Linked DNA regions of Pelodiscus sinensis. The protein of the gene in region 2 interacts with the protein of the main gene of each other region in a biochemical or structural test. Links are inferred from orthologs where the notes say so. Each region holds a gene or a part of one and is shown on either strand. Other genes may lie near its edges.

The links.
Region 1: the proteins of TYRO3 (region 2) and GAS6 form a complex in vitro, tested with the Homo sapiens proteins (2 studies listed by BioGRID). The link is inferred for Pelodiscus sinensis from reciprocal best matches to the Homo sapiens genes TYRO3 and GAS6.

Annotation. Positions count from the first base shown.
Region 1 is NC_134711.1:236,675,228-236,690,854, forward strand, and holds the start of GAS6 (growth arrest-specific protein 6), read left to right. Parts: upstream 1-7,875; 5' UTR 7,876-7,969; coding exon 7,970-8,036; intron 8,037-8,691; coding exon 8,692-8,858; intron 8,859-15,627. UniProt on the Homo sapiens protein: Ligand for tyrosine-protein kinase receptors AXL, TYRO3 and MER whose signaling is implicated in cell growth and survival, cell adhesion and cell migration.
Region 2 is NC_134714.1:65,021,193-65,036,469, forward strand, and holds the start of TYRO3 (tyrosine-protein kinase receptor TYRO3), read left to right. Parts: upstream 1-6,850; 5' UTR 6,851-7,264; coding exon 7,265-7,352; intron 7,353-7,610; exon of another isoform or gene 7,611-7,726; intron 7,727-11,560; coding exon 11,561-11,744; intron 11,745-15,277. UniProt on the Homo sapiens protein: Receptor tyrosine kinase that transduces signals from the extracellular matrix into the cytoplasm by binding to several ligands including TULP1 or GAS6. Regulates many physiological processes including cell survival, migration and differentiation.

The DNA.
Region 1 (15,627 bases), on a different chromosome or scaffold from region 2:
CTTGGTTTAGGTCATAGAATTCCTCAAGCTCTAGGCCTACAGACATCCAGTCTTTAAAATCAGATAGCGTAAAAGCCGCAACCACACTGTTATCATAGGTGTACTCTATTTCTAAGTACAGGCAAATACTGATGTTTCAGATGCAACTGTGTGATTAATGGTAGCAAAACCCTGACTGTTTAAAGGCAACTCCTGTATGAAAGCATAATGTTGACTAATGTCAATAACAAGAGCCTCCCAAACCATAAAAATAGAATCTGCCCCACTCATTGTGGTACTGTATCCTCAGAAAGCTGTTGGCTAAGTAGCTAAGCTTTGCCACATATGGACTCTAGGGGCATTTGAATTCTAAACAGACAATGTCTAAATATCTTGAACTCTTGACTTATTAATTACCTCACGTTTGTATTAGTAATCATCTGGGCAGAGGGCTTTACTGAGGCTCTTCAGCAAGAGTTTTATTTCCCACTAACTGCAGAAAGGTATATAAAACAATGATTAGGGCATGGTTACAGGCAGTGTTCAACAATGCTTTCACTTACTCTTATGTTTGACAGAGGAAATTAGTTATAACAAAAATATAGCTCCATGCTAGTGAAATCAGATAAACAAAACTGGACAAAAATGTTTATTTAGCCAACATTCCACTGTCTTTAATTTGGCCAGCACATCAACCTTATTTTTGAAAGGCTAAAGGCCTTCTTTGCATTTTGATTGTTGTTTAACAATTTCACAATCATTCTTGTAAAAGTCCTTTTTAAACCATGATGGAAATCATGTGGGTTTTTTTACTTTAATTCTGTGGTGCCTGGCAAAAATACCGTTTTGCTGATAAGCAGCATACGGCATATCTCAGAAAACCACCATGCTGGACAACATGGAAAATGAAAGCATGTATGACCTTCAGTATTTTCTGCCTTTTCAGGGTTTTTTTTTATTTGGAAATTGCTCATCTGCACATTGGAAGCGACATGCTGTTATATCTTAAGCATGTATCTTTGAAATGGAAGAATAATATTGGGGAGAAAAAAACCTAACATTAAGGCAAATATGGTGGACACACACACCTGCCTTTAGATTAAGATTTTATTCGTGTTCCCATCATGTGCTCTGGGTTCAGTCAAAGTAGATCATCTTGAACTTGACAGGCTTGGAGAACACTGTACAATTATTATCATTTTGGTAAGATGTCAACAGTTAGTATCCTAGCTATACATTACGAACAAACTTTATTAGTGAATTATTAAATTAATAGTTTTAATGCATAAGAAGTCACAAAACTCAAGTTAGGCAACATTACCTAAGGCATGATGCACAGCTGTATGTTTATCGTGCAATTGAAGCCAAATCTGGATCCCGTCAAAATAATTTCAAAGTAATGGGCAGCTTATTTTGGTTTTTGTAAACCTCATTCCATGAGGAATAACACCGCTTTCAAAATAGCTATTTTGGAATAACAATAGTGTGGATGTTCCACTGCTGCTATTTCAAAATAGCTTTTCCCCGAGGTCATTCAGAGTAATTACTCCTCAGTGCCTTTTGGGGCTCTAAATCAAGATAGTGCATCCACATTAGGGGAGCCTGCCTCATACTAATTTCCAGGCTTCCCTGTAGTATAGACACACTATTTCAAAGTAAGCTATTTCAGAGTATTTCTTCCAGAATAGCTTATTCCAAAATAATTAGGTAGTGTAGACATAACCTTGGAGACTACCTTCTTCCTAGTTTTACTGAGGCATAAAAAAAGCAAAAATCTTACAACCTGTTATTGCAATGTACTTTTAGGGATTCAAATATCAATAGCTTCCATTTTCTCCCTTCCGTGTAATAACTGATTCCAGGAGTTGTTTGTACCAGTAGCTATCTGATGCTGAGATAGTGGATCACTTTGTTAAAAACCTGTATGCTCCCTCATCACAGAGTCCAGTGAATGCTACCTATTGTTTCAAGGGCTAGCATGCTAGTTCTGTTTCTCACAGTTTCTTTTTTTCTAGGCATTTCCCCTTACATCTGGCTTTTGTGAGACTTGAAAAACTTAATGGCAGTCAATAACAAGGTTCAATCTGATCAGCAGCATTACATCTGGACACTAATTCTTCAACAGATACAGGCTTGTAGGAATTTGTCTTCAAGGAAAAACATGTCATTGTGCAGAGTTGCTGATCACAGTAGATATTAAAGATGTTGCTTACTAAGTAAGATATCAAGCTATTGCCAGATATGTTGTTTTAGAAAACTATTTAGAATTAGGATGCCATTAAATTATTCCTATATAATTACGAATAATGGTGTTTAAACTGGCAAATAAACTACAGGCCACATTCTCAATATGTTCATATCTTTTCCTTACTTTCCCTTTTCCTTTCTCTGTGGATGCCATTATGAGAACCGTCCCCTAATTCTTTCATAGCATGACGCACATCTCAACAGAAAGTTCACCATGAGAACCATGTCTCCTTTCTTTTATGATTGCACAGGCTACCTCCATTCCCACAGGCTACTCTTTCTTTCTGGAGACTAAAGCAATAGTTTACACAGGGGAAAGTATTATGAGAAAGACATCTAATGTATTTTACCTCCTTTTAGTGCAGTTTAGCAACTGAAAACAAGGGGAGTGACAGCTCCATGTGACCAGACAGCTCTGAGAATCACGAGAAAGTGCTCCATGGACCAGTGTTTGAGAATTATCATGTTATGACAACTATTTGTTTCGCACCAAAGCCAGTGAAAGGCAAGATGGCACCTATCTCAAATGTATATATTTTAAGATATCTTTAGAAAAATCAAAAGTTTGTGAATCTGAGGGAGAAGGAGAGAAATGGGGTCTCATCTGCACCAAAGGATTTAAATTGTCCAAAATGCTATGGGAGAAATTCTGGCACCATTGAAGTCAATGGGAGTTTTGCTATAGGGATCAGTGGAACCAGAATATCATTCCTCATAATCAATTTCTTGTTTGATTATTAAAGTTAATGAGAACTATAAGCTAACTATATGGGACACATTTCAGAGAATGGTGTATGTGCCAATATGCTTATGTTCTCATGTATCCCAAACAATTCAGCTACTCTGGACAAATCTGCCCACCACTTTGGGGCAAATATGTTACACACACTTTTATCTGGAATTGACACACTACAGGAGTTTATATTAATCATTATATTTTAGCCATTTTTTCCTAATTTTAAAATTTCCCTTGACAGGGAATCTTGAACTTATACATAACCCTTAACACTCAGTAGTAATGTATGCAGAAGTGAAGTTAGCATTTAGAGGGATGTATGATCTACACATTGTTTTTGATCAAGAAATAAATTATGCATTTTCTTGTGAAATACTATAAATGGATTTTGTTTAGGGCTGGATAATTTTATGACCCATATTTGTTATAATAAAACTTTGTCTTATATGACATTGATGATGCTCAGCTTTATAGTACCTGATCCAGTCCAATTAGTTGGTTGCCCAGCCTAGTGTTTGGATCACAGTTGCCCAGGAATTCTTGTTTTCCCAAGAATCAAGGTAGGGAGGAAGCAGGCTAGGCTGCTACATTTTTCATGAGAGAGAAAGGAAAAAAAGGGAACAGAACCTTCCAGTTTGTGAGGAGCCAAGCTGATCCATCCTGTTTCATTTCCTTTCCCACCTCTCCACCATTCTCTGCTATGAAAAAGTGGCAGTTCACTCTGCTTTCTTTCTCTTAATTGCTCACTGGTATGGTCATATCATTGAAACCTGCATAATGTAGATCCACTGGACCAAAATACTGGCTTGAGTGCTGGGCCCCATTCACTAACTACTTCCTAGAACCATAGTACTGTAGTAATAAATCACGTGTCTGAATGCTTGGACTAAGGATTCTGTACTTCAGTCTTATGCCTTTTGGCTTCAATAATCAGTCCATGGGCTGATCCCTTTGCACTGTGCACTTTACCTCAGGATTTGACCTTAATAGTTGGAGTGACCGTGCCAAGAGAGAAAATATATCCCTGAATTAACATCCCATTTTGTTTATGCCTGAAGCCACTTTTGAATTTCAATTACAATTCTGACCTCTAATTAAAGGAAATCACACTGAGCTGAATTCAAGACAGCCACGATGGGGACAACTTTACAGTTTCCTGTCCTTGAAAAATATGATTTATTTCTTGGCATCACACTGAGAACTGCAGTTCCAACAGTAAGCAGCAAATTCCAGATCTTAATGTGCTAAGCATATTTTGGCGCATTCCTAGCTGGTAGTGTTCGGGTGTTCGGGGTTAACAATCCTGAATTTTACCTTCTTTGTTATAAGGATTTTCACATTTAAGCATGCTATTTTCCACCACCTTTAAATTTCAAAAATATTCTAATGTAATTTTACATTTTTTGCTATAGAATGTAGAAAATTTTACAGCTATAACTTACAGAATTTTGATGGAGACAAAGGCTGAGGAAAAAAGGAGACTGAACATTTATCATTAAACTTGAAGGGATGAAGCTTTCATTGGTGTAAATGTTGATTTCATCATGCATAAACCAACAAATATTTCCATTGCTACAGTAATAGAAATTTATAAATAAGCAAAATGAGAAAAATACTGCTTGAGATCTTATTAGCATTTCATATAAAAATATTTACTTTATGTATTTATCACATGTAGTATTGCTAATTTGTGAGTTTTTTAATGATTACAAAGCTTTATACTTTTTGAATCTCAGCATCTACTGCCATTAAATAATTATTATTTGATCTCCTCCAATAGTGTCTCACAATAGTGAACATTTAAATGAATATTGAAAAGCTTTAAAATTACCACCAGTGTGGTCAAAATTATAAAAGAATAAAAATCTAAAGGTTCGTCTAGATTGCATTGCTCTTTCAGGATACCGGAAGTAACCTGAAATAGCAATGCCACGTCTTTAAAAGTGCCTGATATTTCCCAAAATAGTGGGTGTGCTATTCCAGCATCCTAGTAACCCTCATTTCATGAAGATTAAGGGATTTGTCAGAACAGTGCCTTATTTTGAAATCTGGCACAGTTCAGACAGCGCCAAATTTCAAAATAAGCTCTTTCGATTTAGACTCAGAATAAGCTATGCAAAATGCGTAGTGCAAATTGTGTAGCTAACTCCGACAGAAGGGTGTTGTCTAGATGCACCCTAAATCTTCCAAGTCTACCCATCATTTCTAATGATGGTGCTACAGCTCAGGTTTGAGGCATTTTAGTCATGTGGGAAAACTGTGTAACTCAAAAGATAAAGGCCTTCATTCTCCACTGAGGTCAGACTAGCATTTTTCTTTAACAATAAAGTACTTTGTAGGATGGTAAAGAGTCCCTGTCATTCACCTAGCTGAGGGAGGGCTGTACAAGGGGAACAATTCCTTCCTGACCTCCACAGTTGACCATCTTTTATCCTGAAGCATGATTTCTGATCACCTTATCACTCTTATCAGTATCTTATCTCCCACTTTACAGCTACATTGTGCAACTACAAATTGTATCACAAAGTTAACCACTTTTTAGAATTTACAGTTACAGGATTTGGCTGAATTAATTCTGTAGCAGTGATTTTTCACAGACCAAGAATACATGGCATAAGGAATAAACTTAAAAAACAACAAATAGTCTTGCAGCCCCTTAGAAACTAACAAAAAATGTAGATGGTATCATGAGCTTTTGTGGGCACAACCCACTTTAGAAGAAGTGGGTTGTGCCCACAAAAGCTCAAGATACCGTCTACATTTTTTGTTATTCTCTAAGGGGCTGCAAGACTGAGGTTTTTTAAGTTAGGGTATGCCTACACAGCACACTTATTTCGAAATAAGCTATTTTGGATTTTTTCCCCCAAATAGCTTTATTTTGAAATAGCACATCTACACTACAGGGGAACCTCAAAATTAGTCCTAGGCAGGCTTCCCTGATGTGGATGTGCTACATCGATTTAGAGCACCAGGAGGCACTGGGGAGTAATTACTTTAAATGGCCCTGGGGAGGAGCTATTTTGAAATAGCAGCACTACTGCTATTCTGAAATAGCTATTTCAGAATAAGTGTTAGTCCTTGTGGAATGAGGTTTACAGATTTCAAAATAAGGTGTCCATTATTTTGAAATTATTTCAAAATAACAAAATTGCTTTGTAGATGCTCACATTGTTATTTCAAAATAACTGTGCTGTGTAGATGCACCCTCACAGACTAATAGTGCTTCCCCTCTGAAACTTTTGAACATGCATGGCACAAAGAAATATCTATAACTTGTTCAAACTATTAATATTCCTTTATTTTTAAAGGGGCCAGATGAAGAAGAGCGACGGACAAATACTTTTCAGCACTGTGGATACCTTAATCAAATACTGTTTAAGTTTTTTCCTTACCAGTTCAAATTAAAAAAATGTATAGTCTCTTATCAAGGCCAACCATTTTTATATTCTCAGACATTTGTGGTGACCCTTGTCATCTCTTCTATATATTTCTTAATGTGCAGTGACCTGTACGCTCACACTTGCAACTAAAGATTTCTGTGCCCATACAGTACTTCTTTAAAGTCATTCAGGGTTAAAACTGGACACACAGGCTGAATATAATTATTTAATGTAGTGTTGTTTTAATGTTGTATGCATTGTTTTCAGCTAATGGCCTCCAAGGGGAAAACATGCCCTTAGAACTAATTTCATGTTTTAACTGCTACTGTGTTCTGAGCAGAAGCATTTATGCATATTAAAATCTCGTATTATATTTTAAAAATATTCAAACATCATTCATTGATCAATCAGTTTGGGGCTTTCCCCCACATATTTACATAAGCCTGAATATTGCAGATATTTGAAGGATTTACAGCCTCTCTGTGCTACCCATCAGTGTAATGCTGAGGAGTCATAGGTAACTGACAGATATGGGAATACATCATCTTGGTTAAACCAACATCTACCAAACTAGCTCTAAGTTTTCCCCTGAAAACATTAAACTGAAAAGTGGAAGGTTTATTGTGAAGAAAAATATATAGAGGGAAATAATCTATTTTAACTAGAAGTGGGTTTGGTTTGACTCCTCCAGCTTTATTCCCACTAATAGTTGTAATCAATTTCAGTACTTAAATGCCATCTGATTTCAGAGAGAAACTTCCCCCTCCAAACTTTTGGGTAAAATATCCCTTTAGGTATTAATGCCACGGCTGTGCTGCTCATTTAGCTCTCCCAAATCAACTACATCTCAACCGGTGTTTAAGAGATGCACAGCAACTAGCCGCCCCACCACCAAGTAAAATCCTTAATGCTGAGTCTGAAACCTGCCACCCAGTTGCCTCACGTTCAGGGATTCCTGACATGTAGACAGCTGAGCAGACGCCCAAGCACTTGCAGACTGGGATGTGGCTCTCCAGGGCTCAGGTACTATGGTGACGAAGGCCAAACAAGGCAGCGAGGGCAGGGGATTGGATTGGGAGGCTGATTACCCCTTGGCCCCACGTGTGAATGCCCTATGAGGATGGACTGGGGGGGGGGCAGCCCTATGAGGATGGACTGGGGGGGGGCAGGACCGGCCTACAACATTTTGGCACCTGACACTGGAGCTCAAATGACGCCCCCTCGCTGCACTAGCAACAGACACAATTTTCTTCACCCTGGGTCCTAGTGACGCCCCCCCCCCCCCCCCCCCCCAGTCTGGCACCTGAGGCGGCTGCCTCAGTTCGCCACATGGTAAGGCCAGCCCTGGGGGGGAACCAGCTGCATTTGTCCCCTGAGGGCACAGGTCGGTCGGTTCCCGCTGCACCCTGGCCCCCCGCCAGCCCTGCACCCCCGCGGCGCTGCACCGAGCCCGGAGTGATTGGGTGAGAGGCGCGAGCGACTCCCCGGCCGGGCTCTCGCAGCCGCCTGGCGCGCGCGCTGCTCGCCCTCCCCCCCCGCAGTAGCCGCGCTCCCTGCGCTCGCGCCGGACCGCCCCGCTCCTCCTGCTGCCGCCGCCGGTCCCAGCAGGGCACAGCCCAGCCGCAGCATGCCGCAGCCAGCGGCTCCCGCGGCCGCCCTCCTGCTGCTCCTGCTGGCTACGGACTCCGCGGCGAGTGAGTGCCTCGGGGGCCTCGCCTCCAGCCCGCTCGGGGGGGAGGCGAACGTCCCTTGCCCCTTGAGGAGCCCCATCTTCCCCCCTCCCCAGCCGCGGCAATGCACCAGTCTCTGCGCCTGTGTGCAGTAAGGCAGGAGCTTCCTCCCCTTGCTCCCAAGGGCGCCCAGAGAGCGTGCGGAGGGGGATGGCTGGGGCGTTTGCTAGGGACGCGGTCTGGCATTGTGTGGGCGACAGGGTAGTGGGGGGCAGGCTGGGGAATCCCCCTGGCTGAGGGGGGTCTGGGGGAGCAGTAGCTTGGTGACTGCCCCAGGGGGAGTGCATGAGTGTAGCGGCGCAAGGTGCAAGCGGGGCGTTGCATGGCTGGGGGCTGCACGGGGCAGTGCCTTGTCTGCCCAGTGTTGGGGGGGGGGGGTGCATGACTGTGTCTCGTGCGGCACGGGGGACAGTACGGCCGGGGCAGTGCTTTGGGAGTCGGCCCGCGCCATCGGTGTCTAGAGCGGGCCAGGCTGCTGTGCACGGGCTGGGCTCGGTGAGGGGGGCACGCCCGTGCCATTGTTCCGTGAAGTTCCCAGCGGGCGGGTCCCATGAGCTGACTCCTGTATTTACCGCTGCTTCTCCTTCCCCGCTGTCCCTGTGCGTGGCTGCGGCCGCAGCCGTGTTGCTGCGAGCCACCGAGGCTGCCCAGTTCTTGCGGCAGAGACAGCGCCGAGCCTTCCAGGTCTTCGAGGAGACCAAGCAAGGCCATCTGGAGCGGGAGTGCGTAGAGGAGCTGTGCAACAAGGAAGAAGCCAGGGAAGTATTTGAAAACGATCCTGAGACGGTAAGAGTTGGGGGTGATAAGCGGCGCCTCCGGTACATTGAGGGTTTTACTGTCAATCTCTCGCGCTCTGGCCACAACTGGAATGAGGGCGCCAGCTGTCAGCACAGCTGGAGAAGTTGTTTGGGGGAGGAGGGGAGCCATTAGATAAATAAGTGAAATCACAACACTTCCCTTAACTGCGGTTTGTTAGGATTGTCAGACCACGCAAATATAGCATATAAAAGGAAAAGGGAAAGTCCGGTTAAATTTGCTGGGCTGACATAATTTATATGCCATTGCTATTTAAAATGTCCATATTCTCCATTCAGACTTAAAGGGCCAAATTCACTCTGGTATAACTTCAGCACCTCCAGGGAGTTACGCCAAGGTGACATAGTGTTTCAGTATTTCTGTCTGAACATCTGTGTCTTCCCCTCTTCTCCCATCCCTTGAATCCTTTTAGCTCTGCCCCAAAACAACATCAGAAAAGAAATTTCTGGGAAGAAATACGTCATAAACAAACTGTAAGACTTTCAATCCATTTTTAGTGGGTACAGTAGTTTGAGTTTTTGCTTTAGGATTGGGAATGCTCTAAATGAGAAGACGGGAGGACGGAAATAGTGACTTTTATAGCATTTTTTATAAAGTGGCTGTTCTGTAAATCTGAATGGCATTTATCTTCAAATTCAGTTACATCCTACAAAAACAAGGTACAAGTTCTCCTGAGTTTTTTTTTATCTTAAGTATTCTTCTTTTGTGGCACTTTCGTTATAGTAGTCTTGTTTGGCTGACCTTTATTTTCTTTTCCAATTAGCGTGCATCTTCTGGATGTCCTGTTTTGAATAAACTGTTTCCTTTTGTGGATTATCAGGGATTAGTTTAGTGGTAGGGAGTGAAATTCTTGGAGATCATATTGGGGCTTAAAATTGCACAGTGAGTTCTTGTTAATGGCTTGATGCTTTTTGAGTGGAAGGAGTTACATGGTTCAGGTGTGGTGGTATGGGGAGTGAAGGCCGGACTTGACCTTTCATTTTGAGTCAATGTCTCATATTTAAGTGAAAACATGTCTAGACATGTATACCTTAATAGGCTAACAGTGCATTGGCTGCATTACATCACAGTGCAATGGATAGTTACAAAACAGAAGTAAAAAGGAAGAAATTTGCAAACTGATTCTAGTGCTGATTTTACTTCTGTCTGTTCAAGAGTTTAAGATCAAACTCCTGTTTATTTAGGCCTACTAAGACTGCCTGCGTGCATACTCTGGCACCCAGATACAACAGTGTTTGGTGCTCTGTAAAAAAACATAGATTGAACACAATATAAACAGTTGTAATGGCGTGTCAGACTGGATGACACAATTATTTTCCATACTCCTATTAAACTAAAACCTTTTAGTAGAGTCTTGCACACATTTCATGAAGGTGCGCAGAGAAAATAAAAAATCCAGAATGTGAACTTTGACCATTCATAAAGTTAATCTGCGGTCATCAGTTGTATTTATTGGATTTTCGCCAAGAAAATCGGCAAGGGTGAGCAAGTGCATATGAGATTTGTTCAGTGGAAGGGTAGACGGCTATAAACATAAGTAACAATTATGAATAATAATACTTGGCACTTATTTCACACTTAGGAAAATGTTAAAGCTTTGTTCCTGTTTTGAAGACAGTGAAGTAATTTGGGTTTTACATCTTACCTGTAGCTGTAAATGAATTCCCTGAGACATAACCATATTACTTAAACACCTTTGAGTAATAAATATTTAGCAGTTAATGGTTTGCTTTATATTCAGGCCTGGCCCTAGGACAAGGTGAGCAAAGCAAATGCCTTGGGCCCTGCACTTCCGGGGCCCGTGCTGCTGAGTATTCACCATCCACCAGCCAAGCCTGGGGCCCCGCTCCCAGCATCCTGCCTTAGGCCCGCAAATCCTTTGGCCAGGCCTGTTTATATCTGTGGTTTTATTGTATTGTATTGTAGCTGGTGGGTCTCTTTCTAATTCTAAAATAAAACACCTTTAAGGGAATATTGTTAAGGCTGACAGGCCTGCATATTTGTGTCCACTTGCATATTCTCAATGCACCCAAAATGTTATGTTTTTAAAATGCTCCATGCTCTGCCGGTCTTCTTCTGAGACAGCCACCAGCCCCTTTCCCTCCCCACACCCAACATGCTGAATTTGTTAGCAATTTGCACTTGCTGGTTTTTGCCTCAAGACAGATTTTATGCCCATTCCAATCTAGTTGCAGATCAGTATGTGGCATAAAGATGACACTAGTTATGCTGTTTGACAATCAACTAACAATTATGGACAGAGGTAAAATATCTATGTTATTATTACTGCATCAATTGGGAGGCTTCAGTGCTATTAATCATAAGTAATTACAGTAGGTAGCAGGGATTGATGAAGCCCCATTAAGATAATACTGCTTCTCCTTTGACAGAGCCTAGAAGAGTATGATGTACAGTTGTTTTTCATCTTTTAGTGCTCTCAGCTGAAGAACTTCGCACGACTTAATCTTGTCATCTCTCTTTCTTTTCATTTATATGAGGCAACTGGGAGAGGGGTTGCTAGATGCTATGATCTGTGATGCTATCAATGCACAGATGACAGTCTTATTCTGTTGACAGAGAGAATCAGAGATCTCTGTCTCTGAGAAACAGCTGTCTCAGACTCAATTCAGGAAAGATGGAAATGAAGTTAGATAGCAGTGCATTGCAGGTTGAGGAGCTATCAGTAGCTGTGACTTCACTTCTCGTCAGAAGATCTCTGTCCTTAAGTTGTTAAAGATGGCTGGAGATTGCATCTGTGAGTTTTGGGTGTGGGCCTACCCACAGTGATCTTGGCTTTGGCCATGTCAAGAGACAACTATAGTGCCTTTATTGGCTGGTCTTGAAGGCTAACCAGAAAGGTAACTGATTCAACAGACCCAATTACAGAGTGTCAGGAATACATAATTCCAACACTCTGGTTTATGGGTGGGGTTTATCCAGTCCCAGGTCTGTTCCAAGCTCCTGATCCTTACTTTTAAAGCTCTAGATGATCATGGGCATAGTCACATGAATGACTGCTTCACACTACAGTTTACACATGACAGCTGTGCTTTCTAAGGAGTCCCAAGGTCTAGTCTACACTCCTGAGTTCTGTCGACTTAATTATGAAAGTATCTATGCTTAAATTTCGCTTCTGCCTCCATAAGCACCTTGCTATACCAACATAACTCCACTTTCAGGAGCTGTCTCACAGTGCCCTATATTGGCAGTACAATCAATACATTGCTGGTGAGGACACAGACTGCTGACACGAGCAAAATGCAGACACGCACAAGCAATGTAATTATTGCAATGGCTGTATGCCAGTATAAATTAGGTTGTCTTAATTTTGTATAGTAAATGTAACCTAAGGTTTAGTCTAAACCCATTGCATCCAACCAATTTTCAAGCAGTAGCCACTATAGTATAGTGTAGGAGTGTTAGCGAGTAGTCAACTGGAGTGTTAACTACTTCCTTCCCCGCCCTTTTCTGCCTCTATGAGAGGCAGCGAGGTGCAGGGGGAGGGAACAGGAACCGGTGTTGAGGGGAGCTGGCTTAAAAGCCAGTTCCCCCTAGCACCAGCTCCTCGGTGCTGCCTGCCCCAGTGTGGAGGATAGAGAAGGCTGCAGCAAAGCAGCCTCTGCCTGTGATTGGCTGAAACTCGCCGTGGGCAGAGGCTGCTCCTGCAGCAGCTCCTGTTCACGACCAGCCCTGGTTGCTGTATACAGGGGTGTAGGACTCAGTGCGAGCTGGGACTGAGCAGTCCCGGCTCGCGCTGGTCTGGGATGCTGCGCCTATGCATTTAAATATAGTAAAAGTCCAGCAGCTCTTACTGCTTTTAAAATGCAGAGCCACAGCGCAGGTGGCTCCCAGAGTCAGAATGAGTCGGGCTGCTCAGTGCTGGCTTGAGCTGGCTCCTGGAGCTACACCCGCTGTGGCTCTGCATAGCGGTCCTTATCGACTCATTATGTAGTCAATACAAATTGTATCAATTACACAATTAGTCAGATAACCATAATGTAACGTCCCTGCTATAGTGGCTACTGCTATAGCAAGCTAGCCACACTCAACCAGCCAAATAGCCACATTGTTCAAGCCAACTAGCCACATTCAACTGGCCAAAAAGCCACATGTGACTAGCATGTTGGACACCATGGGTCTAAACTAAGGTCTTGTCCACATGAGGTAGCTAGAACATAGTAAACATGGGTGTGAATTTAGTACAGAGTTATTTTTATGCTTCAACTCTGCATGTCAACATTCTTACTGCATTCTAAACCTCTGGAAGTTTAGTTTACTTCATGTCCAAAGTGTATTAAGCTAGTTTGCAAAAAGGCACTCAGTAAGAGTCTGTGGGGGAGTTAGTACAGAATAGTTTACTATAAACATTTTTCTTATGTAGATAAACCCTTACATTTCATGATATGATATGAAATCATATTAGCTAGTTTAGTTTAACTAATATCTTCAAAAACTTTTAGTCATGACAAGTCAAGTTGTACTTTTGTGTGTGCTAAGGTGGTCAAATGTAAAGTGTAGATTTTCTCCTAATCCTAAAAAGTTTACGCCAAAACCAATTCTGGCATTTTTCTCATGGAATGATAGTTCTGTTGACCCAGTAAACATAAATTAAACATTTTGGCTTGCAACTACAATAAGTAGGATGACTACATGGTTGTTATTTTGATGTCTTGCATGCATTGTTTAGAAGCACACGTGCAAACAGATATTAGTAAAGATGTAAGCTCTCTTTAACTTGAATAATGGTGTTATCGCATTTGTGATTACTTGTAACAACTCTAGTTATATTATAGCAGGTAAGATTAAATAACCATTTATTTGCAAGTAAATACAGCTTTTTATTTTATATTAAGGAGACTATTGACTAGTCCTAGCCTGTGAGAGAGAAGATCATTTATTACATTTCTAGTCTGAAACTTTTTCCTATTTTTAAAAGAAAACAAGATTGTTCTATCTATATGACTATAAATGGCAAAAACAAATACACGCTACATTGACATAGTCTTGTAGATTATCTTTTAGATTAAGCTGAATGAAAAATATTTATGTATAGGCTGAAATGTTTTGGAAGCTAAAAGAAACGAGAAAAGTAATTAAAGAGAATTTCAACATAATATCAATGGAGAAAAATAAGAAAGGGAGCATGTTAATGGAGGAAGATTGCTTCCTAACACTACATTTTAAATAGATGAGCTAGGTGTGATAAATAAGGTTGCAGTTGCAAAACATCTTAGTTATAGAGATAAAAGACTGTTATCTTAGTTAAAATGTTGATAAGAGCCTTGTATAAAAGGTAGTAATAAACAAATATTTGCCTGTAGTATTCACTATTAGGTGCTATTAGCTTGTAAGCCTTCTGATAAACTGCTCTGAAATTTGACTGACCTATTCTGAAAATGAGATTTACACAATTGTACGAGTAGAATGAAGGGTGAAAAGGAAAGTGACTAGCAATTTTTTAGTGAGCATGGATTTCCCTTTTAAAAAAGTGTTGTAGGTCAAACTTCATATGAGGTGGGTTAGGATGTTGACCCTTGTTTTCAACAATTGTTGCTGCTACTGAGCTGCCACAGCAGCTATTTGTAACAATGCTCACTGGTTTCCATTGTTATTATTACCAAAAATTACTAGTATTTCTCCACTTAGCTCCTCTTCCATCTTTTCACCATTACATTCCTTCCTACTTTTCTAATGTGATATTAATAGTTAGATATCTGTATCTACATCTCTATTATTAGAAGTGTGACCTAAATATTTCAGCTTCCAACATCCTTCCTAGAAGAGTGGTGTACGGTTTCAGAAACTGTAGTCTATGTTTGTAACTTAACTGTGTTGTGTTGCACACATGATATGATGGGACAGCAACAACATTCATGCTTAACCAGACCTATCAACTGAACTATACACTTGACCTTTATTGTACACTGGCCATTGGTCCAGTTTCATAAACACAAATTCTTGGTAAGCTCAGCTGAATACAAAGAATGTTGAGAGGTTTTCTGTTCTATACATTTGAAATTGCATTACAGTAAATCTTTTAAGATATTGGGCAGATTCTCAGCTAGGGTAGATCAATTTAGGTCTATTAAAATCAATGGAGCTGTATCACTTTACAACAGCTGAGGATCTATCCCTCTGTGTTCACTGTGCACATTTAACGTAATGTAGAAAACCAGTTAATATTCATGTGTGTGCAGGGGGAGCGGCTGACTTCCTAAAGTGCACCTGGATAAATTCTGCTGCGGATCAGAGAGTTCACATCCTTGTAGCATTTAGCACTTATGTTTTGGCAAAGATGTAGACAAGAGACCTTGTGTAACTATGCACATTATGTGGCATAATTCACTTATTGCCTAATGGTCACTTCTTGTGATGGAAAACAGAAAATGGCATCTGAGATAAGAAAGCATGAGGTTTTTTTTCTTCTAATCCATTTCAAACAATTATTGCATAATCAAGAACTGTCTCAGACTGCCAGTAGAAACCCTCATTGTCTGATGTTTGACTTCTATTCAACAGTGAATCATGTGGATGTTTCTTTCTTTTGTTTCCTCTTGTTCCTGTCTTTATAGTATTTTTTTAATTCATGCAAACTTGGTTTTGTGGTTGTAGGAGCCAGACACAATGAGACAGTACATTAAGCCATAAGAAGCAGGGTTGGCCATGAAATAAAAGGATTAACATTCTGTCTGTTTTGATGAGAGTACACAGAGTTTGGAATTGATTAAACTGATAGCGG
Region 2 (15,277 bases):
TGGTTAAAACACCGGCAGCAGCCAACGACATATCTACAACAAGATGCTCTACCACCAGTGGAAGCTGAACTGTGGTTAGCAACAGTAGACAAGGCTTGAGGTCTACTGGGCCTCAGAGTTATTGAAACATTTCCTAGCTCCACAATCTTAATGAACCCAAAGTGGCTGGCTGTTCTCCGGATTTGCTAAGGGACCGCTTCAGATTGCAAACCTCGTCCAATGAGTGAGTGATCCTCTCACCCCAAACAAAACCGAGAAATGTTGTTGGGTGGATCACAGAAATGACTATCAGTGCACGTCCATAGATACAGAATGCATTACAGAATTTTTCAGAAACAAGGTGTTTTAACACCATAGGGCAAATAAATAAGAAAAATTGTCCACTAAGGGACTGTTAACAAATACTTACTCCCAAATCATTTCTTATATATCTACTTGTAATTTGAAATTGGTAATTTGAACTACCTGTAGATCATATCTGTACCTATACATATATAGGGATTTCTTATGGCATTGACTGTTTCATTGTGTAAAAATCCTTTCTGTTTAATTATTCTGTATTGTAATACTGCATTTATATCCACACAAGAGAGATAGGGGGGATTGCTTTCACATATGCAACACAAAGTTAATCTGTAAGTAATGGTGATTGCAATCAAAACGTTGTCTCGGTCTTATAGGAGTTTTATCTATTTATACAAATGTTTTATGTAAGTGCCTACCACTTCGGCAAGTAGGCACTAATTGCAAAAGTTACATGATGCTTTTAGTCTACAAAAGTGCTTAGAGTTTCCTGTGCAAATGCTTAAAAGAGCCAGGTCTAGGTTTGGGGGAGTTTTTAGAGATGGAGTCATGCCAAAAATCTCAACTGTAAACCTCAAACCTGGGAAGGAGTTCAGACTGAGATTCACACTAAAATGAGTTAGCCCAAACCTCAGCTCTGAATGGCACTCCCCACTACCACTTAGAACATGGGGAGATTTTAAATCCCAATCAAGAGTCAGATCTGAGCTCTGTATCTTCTTGAGCTCATCTCTAATTATTTTTAGCTGGAGTAGTGCAGTCTGTTTAATATGATTCCCTTTCTCCTTTACATACACACATGCACAGAGTTAAACGATGGACATATGGAAGACTTAAGAACTGGAGGAGGCTGTAGCTTCCAGAAATACAAGAACTGGACACATTCCAGCATTATTTCCCAGAAGGGAGGTGATCGAGAGATAGAGGAGAGGGAGAAGGAAACATGAAAGGAAACAGAAAAGGAATGCTGGATGCATACACATTTAAGTGAAAGTCAGGGGCTTGATGTGGATAAAGATAACTCCCAGCCTGAGGTCACAATCAAGCCAGATAACATGGTTACAGTGCAAGTACCCCCAGCACTGTTAAAATGTGGTTCAGTCTTTTAGCATAACTGAAGCCTACATCTATTAACTGTGTGAAAGCCCCAGACCTGTCCAAGACTCTAGCATAGTCAGTCTGGGGACATTGTTAAAAGGATATTTAGGTGCAAAATAGAGACTGACCCAGGTATCAACTATGTCAGGGGACAGCTATATTATAAGTGGGTCCCTAGAATGGTTATTATTGTGCAATACTATATTATGTAAACAGCTAGGATTGCCAGATGGTTTCAACAAAAATACCGACCACATTTGACATTACATCACAATCTACATTACATCTTATTTAAAAAATACCGGACATTTATATTTTCTCAATTTGTTTCCCGAACAGAAAGCTCAAATACTGGACTGTCCGGTTCAAAACCGGACACCTGTCAACCCTATAAACAGCTCATTACTATGATGGGCTGGGCAGAGCATGGGAGATAACTTTTGCCAAACCAATTAATTTAATCTTTTCAATGTAGTGTTCACTAGGTATATGCCCTACCACTATCATCATATCCCCCATCTCCTTGGTTACATCCCTGGGAATGCTTGAGAAACCCTAAGGATTCCCACCAATTTCCCCCATCCCCTTTGACCATGCCTTGGGGCATATATTGAGAAGCTACCCTTAGTAGGCCCACACAGCTGGGGAAACCTGAGAGCTCATTCATGCTATTTGGCAAAACAAAAAGCATGATGCATCTCCCATTCTGATCTGGTGCGGAATGTGCTGGTTCAGCCATCCCCAGACAGCTCAGAAAGCATCTGAACAGTCATCCTGGATCTCCTTCCCAGCAGAGCAGAGCAACTCCTGCTACTTGAATGTCACTTCACTGTCACTCCTGCCAGCACTTCAATTTACTTATGTAGGATGACAGGCCTATCTTCTGACTACTGAAGGAACAACTTGTGCCCTTTGTCACTAACGTCAGAGAAAGGATAGGACTGGACATTCACATCTAAGTGTGAATTATGTCAGCTGTTTGAAGACCACCTCATTTAAAGCATCAGGAATTTGTGTACACCTGCAAGGGGATAGCTGCAGCAAAACCAAAGATGGATGTAATCTAGTAGCATTTGCAAAACTTGATCCCTTCTGACGCAGAATAGGGACACTGTGCGACACTAAAGTGAGGCCTTTATTTTGCAGACCTCAGAGAGAGGTTGTGATTGTGATGAAGACAAAGCTGCTTTCTCTTTTGATGGCTGGTTCTTCTTTTGTAGGTGCATTTTTCAGCAAAACCCTTGTAATTAGAGCGGATTGAAAAACTGCCAAAAAATCTGGCCAATATTTAAAAGAAAAAGTTTCCTCTTGCCTTTAAAACTTTGTCAACACTTTGACTAGCTCTGTATTTGGTCAAAAAAGCGGGGGGAGGGGGGGGGGCAGGAAATAATGAAAATTTTATCACTAACTTTTTCAACAAAATTTTGAATTTCAAAAAAATTTCAACATGCTCTCCTGGTACTTGATCCTTTGTAGTGCAAAGTCACTTTGTAGTGCAAAGCCTTTGCCAAAATCTATATAAAACATCCAATAGGTCAGGTGAAACATAAACACCCTAATATCAAAATAGAGGAAGATGACAAGCAGGAAAGTGACAGATTAATTATGAGTCATTGTAATCAATATGTAATAAATACTGTCACTGGGGCTATGTCTATACTACACTGATGTATCGGAAAAAGGTATGCAAATTGTGTACCCTGCAATTAGCGTACCTTTTTCCGATAGTTTTTTTCAGAAGAGGCTTTTCCAAAATTTGTCCCGTCTACACTTGGCCAAATTTTGGGAAAGCCTCCTCTCTCGGAAGAGCCCTTCTTTCTCATGGGAGGAAGACAGGGCTTCCGAAAGAGCACATCTGCTCTTCCGCAAAAAAAAGCAGAAGAGCAGACATGTTCCCTGGACATGGTGGAGTTTTTCTGGGATACCTCTGGTATCCTGGAAAACCCCCGTAATGTAGACATAGCCTGGTAGTCTATGGCCAACAGTACAAGGGCACTGTTGCCCAAAATCATTGATGTTGAAAAGCAAGCAAAGTTTGTTCATGATCCTTCAAAGCATTCAAAAGTCACAAGTTCTTTTTGATTTCTTCTTGGTAATATAGCACTCTTCTGTCAGTTTTCCCAGAACAATCTGCAATCCAACTGGCAAAGCATCCAGGATTTCAGTCCAGTTCTCATACAGTTCTTCTTCCTTATCACTGCGGCTATAACCCACTTCTGGGAAGATGTGAGGCTAGAACCTCAGCTGGTGTAAGTCAAAGTAGTTCTATTGAATTCAATAGAGCTATGCTGAGCTGTGAGTGTCAGGCCTATGGCCCTTAACAAAATGTTCACATTACATACTTATATTTGCAGATAAAGCTGTTCCTGTAGGCTTGTTTTTGGGATGCTGATAATGAGAGCTGGTTGAGAAAAAGGAAATAATATCCAGCAAACATTTGGACCAATTTATTCTATACTGCTCAAAAACTTTTAAAGTAATAACCATAAAAAGGTAAACATCTATTTCAGATTCTCCAGCAGCATTTAAGTACATTCCCTATAGGTTTCTTGCCTTTTCCCAAACTCACTACCAAGATTAGGAGACAGGGTTGTATGTAAGATAAAAATCTTTATAAACAATTGTTTATATCGCATATAAATCTCTTGGAGGTCAGATCTCTTTTTCTGTGTGTCAGTTTTTCTATTATTCCATCTTGTTCTCTGTCCATCTGGAGTTTGTTTCTATTATCTTGGCCCTGAGCACACTTGTAGGTGAAACATTGTTTAATAGTTACAGAATGGGACTGGGAATCAGGAAATATGGGTCAATCCTCAACTATGCTATGACTCCCGTGACCTTGATCAACTCACTTCATTCGTCTATATCTGAATTTCCTACTTATCAGTGCCTTAATTCCCCCATCTCTAAGTTGGTAATATTGATAACCATACCAGAGGGCTACTGGGACATATGTAAACCTCAACAGTTGAAATCTTTAGATGAAAAGTGATGTAGAAATGCCAAGTGTTAGTATAATGCCCATTATCTACACACAAGGCTGTTAAACCTTGAGAATATCGCTACTTTCAATAAGCAACATCCCACATAAATATGTGCATCAATATAGAGCATATATAGCTAAGTTTGTACATATGGCTTGAAGGAAGAGATAGAGATTAGCTATGGTGATTATACCAGAAGTGCTGTATGCTTTTAGCATTCATGCACACTAAGCATCATAGCCCAAGAATTAACAAGAGCATCACAGTCCCCACAAAGCATCTGTCATGGATTCATTGCCCCATGAGAACCATGCTAGCTCTTCGGTATACCTGATTTGTCAGTGTCTCGTACTTGCCTTTTCATTTCAGATGGTAGAAACAGAGAAGGGAGAGAAAACCCATTTTCATGCCAGTCATGGACCCCCACTTGGCACTGGGATTCCTAACAGAAATACAAATGCAACACCCTAGGGATTCCTAACAGAAATGCAAATGAGTGAGGATTTGTAGAATGCAGAGACCAGAGCCTAAGGCATAAGATATGTCGCTCTGTTGTGCCTCAGTTTTCTCATCTGTAGAATGGGGATAATAATACTTTCCTTCCTCACAGTGGACTTAATTCACAAATGCTGTCTGGGGAAGCCTAAAATAGAAAGTACCATATAAACGCCACACATTATAGTAACTATTATTATTACAAATCTGAGACTTGCATTGTGCTACAATGCTACTTATGATGCCTTTCAGAGGGACAATGATGAAAGCACAGTGTCACAGCAGGGGTGCTGGAACAATTTGTGTTATGGGGGGCAAGGGAGGTGCTGAGAGCCACTGACCAAACTGTAAACTCTGTATGTGATGGAAACCACTCAAGCCGAAGTGTGTGGCAACACGGTGGGCCGACAGCCTCACTGGGACCCTGAGCAAAAGGGGGGCCCAGCTCCACACTCCTGGAAGGGGCGTTGTCTCAGGTGGAATGGATGGAGCTAAGGCAGCCAGCCCTCATGCCACCCGGACTGCAGTGCATGCCCCCACACAGCCCAGCCCAGCCATCAAAGCCACCTGGAATGTGCCATGCAGTGCTCCAGCGATGATTTAAAAGTCCCAGGCCTCCAGATGCTGCCACTGCAGCACTAGCAATATCTGGGAGCTCTGGGTCCTTTTAAATTGCTGAGCCCCAGGGCAATTACCCTCTTCTCCCCTCCCTCCCCCGCCTGTGGGCCTGAGCAGCACCTCTGTTTCAGCACCCTGGTGTCGGGGTCTTTGTTATAGCCTTCCAGAGACATTTTCCCTCTCACAGAAATAGCTCCATGGAAATGGTTCCCTCTTCATAAGCTACATCATCCCTTACATTTCAACAAGCAGAAAGGGCCCAAATTAAGCCAACCAAGTCTCCGAAACACAGAATATCCCCAACCTCTGCCAAAGCTCCTCTGCAGATGAGCTGCAGGGACTGGTCTTCACAGATTGGGAGGAAGGTGGCCATTGCATATTTTCCCCACCAAAAGCCTTGAGAGGAAATACCTCTCTAGGAAATACCTCTGCCCACCAATCCGCACTACCTTCCATGGCTGGCTGCTGCAGGCACTCTGGAGGGTTGAAGGCTTTGCTGTGAATAGACATGTGCCCTGAAAGCAGGAGTACAGGATAACCCAGGCCTCTTCAGGGCATGAAAGATCTTCTGGGCTTGGGTCTGACCCACACAGTTGTTCTTGTGTCAGCATAATCCATTCCCCCTCACCCCTTCAGAGAGTGCAAGTCAGAGGAACTTCTGCTGTATGAAACTCAGGCCAAAACTTTCAGACAAAGCTACCTAGGAAAATTAGTCTCTGAAATTCATTGTTAGACACCAAAATAAGGTACCTCATTTTCACATGCACTGTCCAAATCCCCAGCAACTCTCCCTTATTTCATTATTTATGAATGCTCAGCACCTCTGAAATCAGGCCTCTGATTTAGGAACATAAATCTGCACTTAGAGCCTAAATGAGCACCCAAGTTTGATTTAAAAAATCCCCTCCCTCCAATCTCCTTCTCTTGAATGGATTTTTTCCTGTGCAGTGGACATCATGCCCCTTGTTTGTTGTAGGGTTGGTCACTAGAGAGCTGGCCTGCTGGCATTATTTAAAATAATAAATCGCACCAAAGGATTTCCTGGAGAGGGGAGGGAGCTAAAAGCCATATAAAGAATTACCTGGTCCTTGCAAATAAACTCTTGCCAGAAAGGTAGGTTATATTTTGACTGATGCAATCTCCACTATCCCTTTCCGTCTGGAAATTCCTGGGGGAGACACTGACTCCGTAGATCTGTTATTTTCCACTTTATTAAAAGTTCAGGAAGATTGGATAATAAATAGATTCTATAAATATTCATGAGACGTGATGTCACGGGGAGGTGTGGGGGTGCAGAGCAGCTCTGTGACTGCCTGGCAGCGCCATTTCCTGGAGAAAGAGGAGGAAGAACAGGAGTAAGAAGAGCCGAAGGAATTAGCGGCAGCAGCAGCGGGTGCCCAGAGCCGAGGCAGCCGCGGCTGCAGGGGCTCCATGCAGCCCGAGGCCAGCAGAGGGAGACCGCTCTGCCTCGCATTCCCTCTCGTGCTCAGTGACTCGCTCTGGGCAGAGAGAGGCTGAGCGATCGGGATTTGAGGGGCTTCCTGAAACTTCCCCTACACACTCCTCCACGGGCTGGCGAGGGCTCGCTCCCGCGGCGCCAGCCTAGTGCAGCGGAGAGCGAAGTTTGCACTGCAGCTTCCCCTCAGAGCGTCCTGGGAAAGGGCTTCGCTTTGGGGGTCCCCCCCCTTCCCCCTCCTGTGGGAGCACGAAGCAGCCGGCGGCGTGGAGCCGGGCGGGAGGATGCTGACGATGAAGATGCGGGAGCGATGGAGATGAAGCAGAGCATGGGGATCCCGGGGCTCCTGGTGCTGGGACTATGGGCTCTGGCACTCCGGGATACCGCTGCTGAAGCAGGTAAGGCTGCCCGGGCGGGCTCGCTGCAGGGGCATAGGCGAGAGAATTGCCGGGCGGGCCCTGCAAGGGGCTGATCTTCCGAGGGGTAACGCGAAAACGTTTGGCCCAGGGGGTCTCGGCGGCTTTGCTGCTGCCGCCGCCTTGTTTTGGAGCCTGACGCCCAGCACTCAGCCCTCGTCCTCCAGTTTCATGCTGGAGCGGAGCGCTGGGGCCGCCCCTCCCCAAGGTGTGTAAAGCTCCCGCTGGCCCTGCACTAACTCCACTTCCTGCGTCCGGACGGCGCGCAGGGGTGGGGGGCTCCCTTGCTAGACCCGGACGCAGCGCTTCATGCAGCGCTTCTAGCCGGCAGCCTGTTGGATCCGCGCTCGCTTCTTTATCGGCTGGTGGGACAAGTCAGCCGCCTCCTGGCGAACGCCACGTTCTTCCCCGGGAGGAGAGGGAGGTGACTGGTAGCTTTCTGGAGGGCTGTGGGTCTAGGGATAGGAGTTACTCTTAGTGCTGCTGCATTGAATTGTCTTCAGCAAACTAATCACACCAGTCCCCTGGCTTCGTTTTGTTTTGTTCCCAGTTGTCCCTAAGCAGGTCTTGACTTTGAGGAACTTGGTGGCTATTTTCAACGGCACGGAGGGTTTTGTGCATTTTTTTGTGTGCCTATGCCTTCTCCAAATGGGATAGATATGTGCTCTCTGCACCCTATGATTGGTCACCCAGCTGGCATGGCAATGTTTCTGCCCCCTGATGGGATGACTTAGACTTAAATGAGTGCCTACAGTGAAGATCCTCAATCCATATGTCAGCACCTAAATAAATGGCCTAGTTTTCAAAAGTGGTGACAAATAGACCATTTATGGATCAGGCCATCTGTGCTTCAAATGTGGGTGGAGTAGCCAAAAATAGGCACCTACATTTGAAAATATTGGCCTCAGTTTTTTATCTCCCAAACACAATTTCCTTTGCAGTGGCCATTGACTTCATTGGGACCTGCTGATCACTCTTTTGAAATTCAGGTTGCTTATTTATGTGCCTGTATTTGAGGAGGGTGTAAGCATGCCTAATCTTAACCTCTTGAGATCCTGTCCGGCCATACATTTCTATGGATTTATCAGCCTAATTTGAGGCATCCAGATTCGAATATCTTGTCCATTAGCCTAAAAAATATACAGACGTCCCCTTTCTGTTTGTGAATTATCCATCAATGATTGACTGTGTGTGACTAATAAGAAGAGCTTTCCAAAATGGTGAGAGCACTTCTCACGCAAATGCTCGGAGGAAATACTGATTCAATACTTATAATTTATGAACCTTATGCTTGCTGCGAATTATTCTCTTGAATAAGACCTGGATGGTTGCGAATAAATAGAGTCCTGAATACCAGTTAAGTGAATCAGTGGGACTGTTTGCACAGTGTTGTTCCTGTATTTGCAGAGCTCAAGTTGCTATATAGGGAGGCCAGGTGATAATCCATTCCTACATGGCTTTTATTTATTTTCCTTCCAGCCTACATTTTCCTAGTTTCAGCTACAAGTAGACATACAAGGACTTGATTTTATAGCCTAATCCTTCCACATACACGTTTCCCATTGACTTAGCTAGGAATGTAGGCCTCAATCCTACGTTTAGATCCACATGGGTGGAGCACTGTTGGTTTTAAGGGTTTGCCTTGTAGATTTTGATTGCTAGATTGGGGCCCTCACGTATCAAAGGAATGGAAGGTCTCTGCCTTAGGTAAAAGTCTGCAGCTATCTGTTTCTCCTGCCATTCCAAAAACAACTTCAAAAAACTTCTGTCTTTAGTAATCAAAAGGTACTACAGAGTTGTTATAGTAAAATACACTCTGCATGGAGAGAGATAACCGGAGCACTCATTTGTTGTCTGTTCTGTCTGAGAGCAGTATGAAGCTAATATGATTTCATTTCCTAATCAGTTATGAATCTTCTACAGTTGTCACATTGTGGGGGGAAAAAGTTAGTTTTTTTTATTTCCTGCACTAGTTAAAATGTTCTGATATAAAAATGGAGAGTAGGAGGAGGAATAATGAGAAATAAATATTAATCTTAACCTCTCAAGTGCACAAAAAATCTATAGCTGATTCTTCACAGCCAACTTGTATGCATCATTCCCTTCTCTTCAGAAAAAGGTGCTGCAGCTAAACTGCATCTTATGTGTATCTGTTAAAAAATGTGTATCTGTTAAAAACTCCAAGGTTATTATTTTCCCTTTCCTTTCAGTTAAGATCTATTCATTGATTACACAGAAGTGCTGTAGAAAATAGTCAAATAGAGTATACATTAGCACTGTATTTTAATTTCTAGCATAATAAGGTTGGGTGGGAAATGAAACCTGTAAAGGCTTTCCAGATATCATATTGTGTACATTGTAATTAAACCTTTCGGCAAAGCAGATTGGAATAAGTTAAGTAATTTGCTGTTTGCTAAGGCACCTATTATGAAAGAGTATCTGCCAATTTGTGTGTGCATTTGGATACCTGGCTACATTGGGTTTATATAAAACAGATGGCTTTGTATTGTGAAATTTTAATGCTCTGTTTCAGTATTCTGCGTGGTGAGAGGGAGGATGCTTTCTGGGACGCACTGGGATGTGTAATTTATGCCACTTTCAAGTTAAGTAATCTGAGGTTAGATCGTCCTCACTCAGGTGATTAATTCCTTTGCCCAACCAAAGCATTGTTGCATCTAAAGTTAAATGAGTTTCGGTGCTATTAGTACATTTGCTAAATGAACAGCTCCTCACCCTTCTTTACAGTTGCTAAAACACAGCTGAAAATACACACAATATTTTTCTGAGAGCACTGTGATTTTGCTATTGTTACCGAGGGATGCAGTGTAAGAGCAAAGGGAAGTAGGGCAGGCAGCAGGCCATTTCTGTATTCAAATACACTTCATGCTATGAAAAAAGTTTGAGAATAGTGTGGCTGCATGCTTAATTAAGGGCAATCTTGGCTTCTACAGGCTAGTGTTTTTCTATCATAGTGCTGTGGGCTGGAATGTCATCTGATGATAGATCTAGCTGCATATGAGCAGAGCTAGTATCTTAATTCTGCACAGCGGATCTAGGGCAATAGAGTGGTGGACAGGTTAACCTTTCTCTGAAGGATCCAATATAGTCCACTGCTAGAGGCAGGATACTGGGCTAACCTGAACCATTGTTCTGTTCTAGTTTGCCAGTCCCTGTACTAATGGACACGTATCCAGTAGGACTGGATACTTTACCTTTGTCGTCCATCTTTCTGCTTTATCAAGGTCTTCCCTCATTCTCCATATAACTGCCCATCTTTCAAAAATTTACTTACCCAGTTGCTTTCTGTGTTTTTTGCAAGGTGACACATTCCACACATTCATTTCTCATTGAGGGGAGTGCTTCCCGCCCACACACAACTGCGCTTTCAGCCAAATGCTGATCACTTTTACACCAGTGTCAGTCACAGTAATTCCACTGATTTCAGATGAGTTATTCCAAATTTATACTGATGTAACAGATCCAGATTAGGCCCTTTGTCTCTGTTCTGGAAATACGCAATGGCTGGCTGAAGAAAAATGGAAACGTGTTCTGGAAACCGTTCCTTCCCCTCCCCAATAGGAATGCTTTAGAGTAAGTTTTATTTTCACTTGGTTTATAAATTGCATTGGAGCTTTTGTAATGCAATAGAACAGTTTACACTGAGCGACCTGCTGTGATTGAGTCTAAAATCCCAGTTCTTTACAAATGCGTACACAGTGGAACAGAAGTGAGGCCTTATTTGTAGTATAGGAACATAGCATAACCCCTGAAAAGTGAAAAACCGTTTGGGGGGGCAGCATGATATCATTCTGAGGGAACACACACATCAACACTGCCAGAGCACTGCTGTGAAGAAGCTCATGTTTTTCGTATCTAGCTGTGCCTGGGCACTGCTGTGTGGAAGCTCATCCTGCTGCTATCCAAACTGGCACTGGTTTTGAAGAAGCCCTGGATAGATTAAGCCTCCACCATTTTCAAGTAATCAGAATGCCAGTATTCTCATTTTATAATCATGACACAAACATAATAAGGCTCTGGTGAGGCAGTTAGAAAACTGTGCAGTGTGTTCTTGTACATTATGTCCTTTCAGACCCCCAACCTAGATAAACTTGCTCCATACCAACCCCCACTTCTTTTGGGGCTGTGGAGGAGGAGTATTTTTTTATTTTTATTTATTTTATTTTTTTTAGGTATGAAATTGACAGGATCGCCAATCAAATTAAAGGTGTCTCAGGGTCAGCCGGTAAAATTAAATTGCAGCCTCGAGGGAGTAGAAGAACCAGAGATGTTGTGGATCAAGGATGGAGCGGTGGTGCAGAGTGTAGACCAGGTGTACATTCCACTAGATGAAGAACACTGGATCGGTTTCCTCAGGTACAACAGCTGTGGAGGAGATAGACCATCATGGAAGCTGTCACCTACGTCAGTGGAATCCCACTGACCACCATGTGATTGTACCTTTCTAGCTTGCCTGGGCATAACTGAGAATGGAATTTATTCCAAGGGTTGGATTGTATCTGGTAGAATCTGAAAAGGCTCCTAGACACTGTGATGCTTTGGAAATGCTAGATAGGCCAGTGGTCAAGAGGTGGAAGGTGTTGCTTATCCTATCAGAAGTTCTTTAAGCCATCCAGTCCTGCAGAATCTGTGAAATTATAGAGAGATAGTTAGCTGTATTTTTTTCCTCTCCCTTTAAAAAAAAAAAAGTAAAACTTTTCCTTGCATTCTGTGTAGAGATGTAAATTCCTGTTTAATTGGTTAACCGGTTAAATGTGATGTTAACCAGTTTAACTGACTAAAAGAGAGGTGAGTGAACTGGAGTGTCCCCCAGGCCACAGGCAGGGGCTGTTCCAGCCTGGCCTTGTCGGCAGCAGGCTTGGGCATGTTGCAGGCAGGGGTTGCTCCAGTGGTCCAGAGTAGCCTGTGTGGTGCACCTGCGCACATTATGAACAGCGACTGCTCCAGATGACTGGAGCAACCCATATCTATGGCAGGCCCGGCAGGCGGGAAGCTGTTCCAGCCCCCACCAGATAACGGGTGATGCTTACTTGTTCACTGGTTACCCTTTCACATCCCTAATTCTGTGTTGTATGCACTCCTGAGCAATATTGTGGATATAGGATGGTTTAAAGGATTATTAAAAGGCAGCAGGGTCTCTCACTTTAAATCCCCAGTTGAAGTCCAACCTCAGTCAGCTGTGTCTGAAAGTCCTTGCCATCTGAAGTCTCTTCAGTGGTCACAAAGATGGGTTAGTAGTCTCAGCCCAGTTGCCAGTAAATAGTTCTTCATCACCACAGTTGGTAGTATTGCTGCTAGTTCAGCAGAGGACTGAATGGACCTGGAGGCTGAATTACCTCCTCAAAGTCTTGGGGATTGCAGTAGACCAGAGCTAAAGATCAGTGCCGGGAGAAGCTTTTGCCAGTTGTATTCATGCCATATCTGGATAATCAATAGGGGGCTCTCTGTCCAGCTCCCTTACGAGCACTAGAAAATGAATAAAAACAAAAAGCAGTATGGTAGGATGCTTTCATCTTGTTTGTTCTAATAAATTCTGCAGCGCAGCTGGAAGCTTAAATTCTGACCTGGATAAATAAATTTTCTCTCTTCCTCTCCCTCTCTCTGACTAAAAGGTTTAGGTGTCCTAATTAAAATTAGACTCCTGGGACCAGATTTCAATCCTGTTTGGAGAGGAGACTTTGTCATGCACACCATCCCTTAGTCATAGCACATTTATTCCAGCATTTATATCAGGCCTGCTCTTGTTGGAGGCCTCAAAAGCTGCCTGCAGAGCCAGCCTTTTCTTCTTTATACTTTTTCTTCAGCAGTAGGTGGCCTGTTGTGTATCCCAGGAGTAGTACTGGGTTACACAAGGGCCCATGCTCCATATCGGATTTCTCCATGCATAAGGGAGTTTAGTGCAAAACAGCATGGTCTGAGAGGGAGTGTACTTGGAGCTGCCAGGAGCAGTCTAGGATCATCCATTCGCAAGCACAGGCTTCCTCCCCTCCTTTGGATTAGCATATTTTGGAGTTTAATTCCTATCACTAAGGCTATGTTTACACCACAACGCTGTTTTGGGATACCAAAGGTATCCCAAAATAGCTATTCCGCGCTTTTTTAAAGTGTGCCTGTTGTTTCAAAACATATTGGTTCACTATTCCGACATTCCTGTAAACCTCATTCCACGAGGACTAAGGGACATTTTGGAATAGCAATTTATTTTGAAAGAAGTGCTGTGTAGACAGCGCCAAATTTCAAAATAAGCTATTTCACAATTGACTTGAAATAAGCTACACAATTTGCATAGCTCAAATTGCATTGCTTATTTCAAGCTCTGGGTGCAGTTTAAATGCACCCTAAGAGTCATTGGAATTGCATAGATTCAAACGATAGGGACCAGTAGATCATCTAGTCTGACGTGTATAACATAGGCCATTGCTTTTCACACAGTTGTCCCAATGGTGCGTGAGACCAGTAGGCTAAAGCATTTCAGCTCTGAGGAGACTAAGCTGCTGTGTCCCACAGGAAGAGAACAGGAGAGACCAAGGTGCCACCAATGCCCTTGCAATGGCGGGGAAGTGATAAAGAGAGATATGTCCAGATAATCCCAGCAAGTGAACCATGCATCATGTAGCAGAGGAAAGCAAAACAAAAAACCCAGAGTCCCTGTTTATCTGATTCAGGGGAAATTTCCTTCCCAACCCCAAACCTGGCAGTCAGTATGACCCTGAGCAAGTCCTACCAGCCAGATCTCTAGACATAGGATTCTTTGCACCACTTTACAGCAGTCAACTAGCCTGTCCAGTGGCCCATCTCCAGCTATGTCCAATCTCTGATGCTATCCCTCCAAAACGGACTAGATCTAGCCAGTTGGGGGTGGGAGGAGGCAGAACTCCTTTCTGACCCTTGCAGTGGACTGTCTGAAACCTTGAAGCATGAGACTTGATTATAGATGAACTTGGACTGCAATAAACTTTCCTCTGATAGGAAAAATCTGGGTGCAGTAATCCACCCTGCAATACTGTATCATATAGTCACCCTGCAATACTGCATTATATACCATCTTCATCATATATTCCCTCCCTGCACCCAGATTAAGGTCTTTTTTGTGTCTCCCCACTTTCTCGTTCTCCTGGTTCTGATTTCTATAGCCCTTTCTCACCCTTCACATTCCTCCACTGATAATAGCTCCATAGCACCAGTGCTGACTCTGGATACTGGATCCAAATATGGCTGTTTTCTTTTCCTGTTTCCTTCTTACTCCTAAAGAGATCATTTCAACCGCCCACTGTTTTATGCCTTTCTCCTACAGTCACTGTGTTTCAGAACATGCGGCTGGATGGGCAGGACAGCTGGTTTCATCTGAAGGTACAGCTCTGAAAATCAGGCTGTAGTGGGAGCATTTTGTGCATTTCAGCAAGCACTCTCCCCTTCCTTTCTTCTACCCTGCACATTCACCCCGTCACCAAGACCAACTTTTGGCATTTAAAAAGGAGTGTCAGATCTGCTCAGGGTCACTGCATGGCAGCAGATGCATGGCCGCAACATCAGAATGGTGCATTTTGCATTTGTATAATCAAAGGACACTTTCACTTTCTCTGAGGTCTTTGGTATCCAAGACCTTGAAACCTCAACTCTTGGAGCAAACTCTGCCGTTTAACTGAGGGCAGAATTTCCCCCTTGGATTTGAGGTCTAAAACTTTACTATCACTTAGGCCCTGGATCTGCCCCCGCTTGTCTGGGTAAGCTGTCTTGGAAGTCAGTGGGACCTGCACCTGTTTGAGTGAGCCCAAACTTAGGCCCTGCAGATCAGATCCTCAGCTGGTGTAACTCAGTGTGGCTTCACTGAAATGACGGATCGAGGATCTGACCCTAGATATTTTGTAGTATGAAGAGATCAGTTCGCT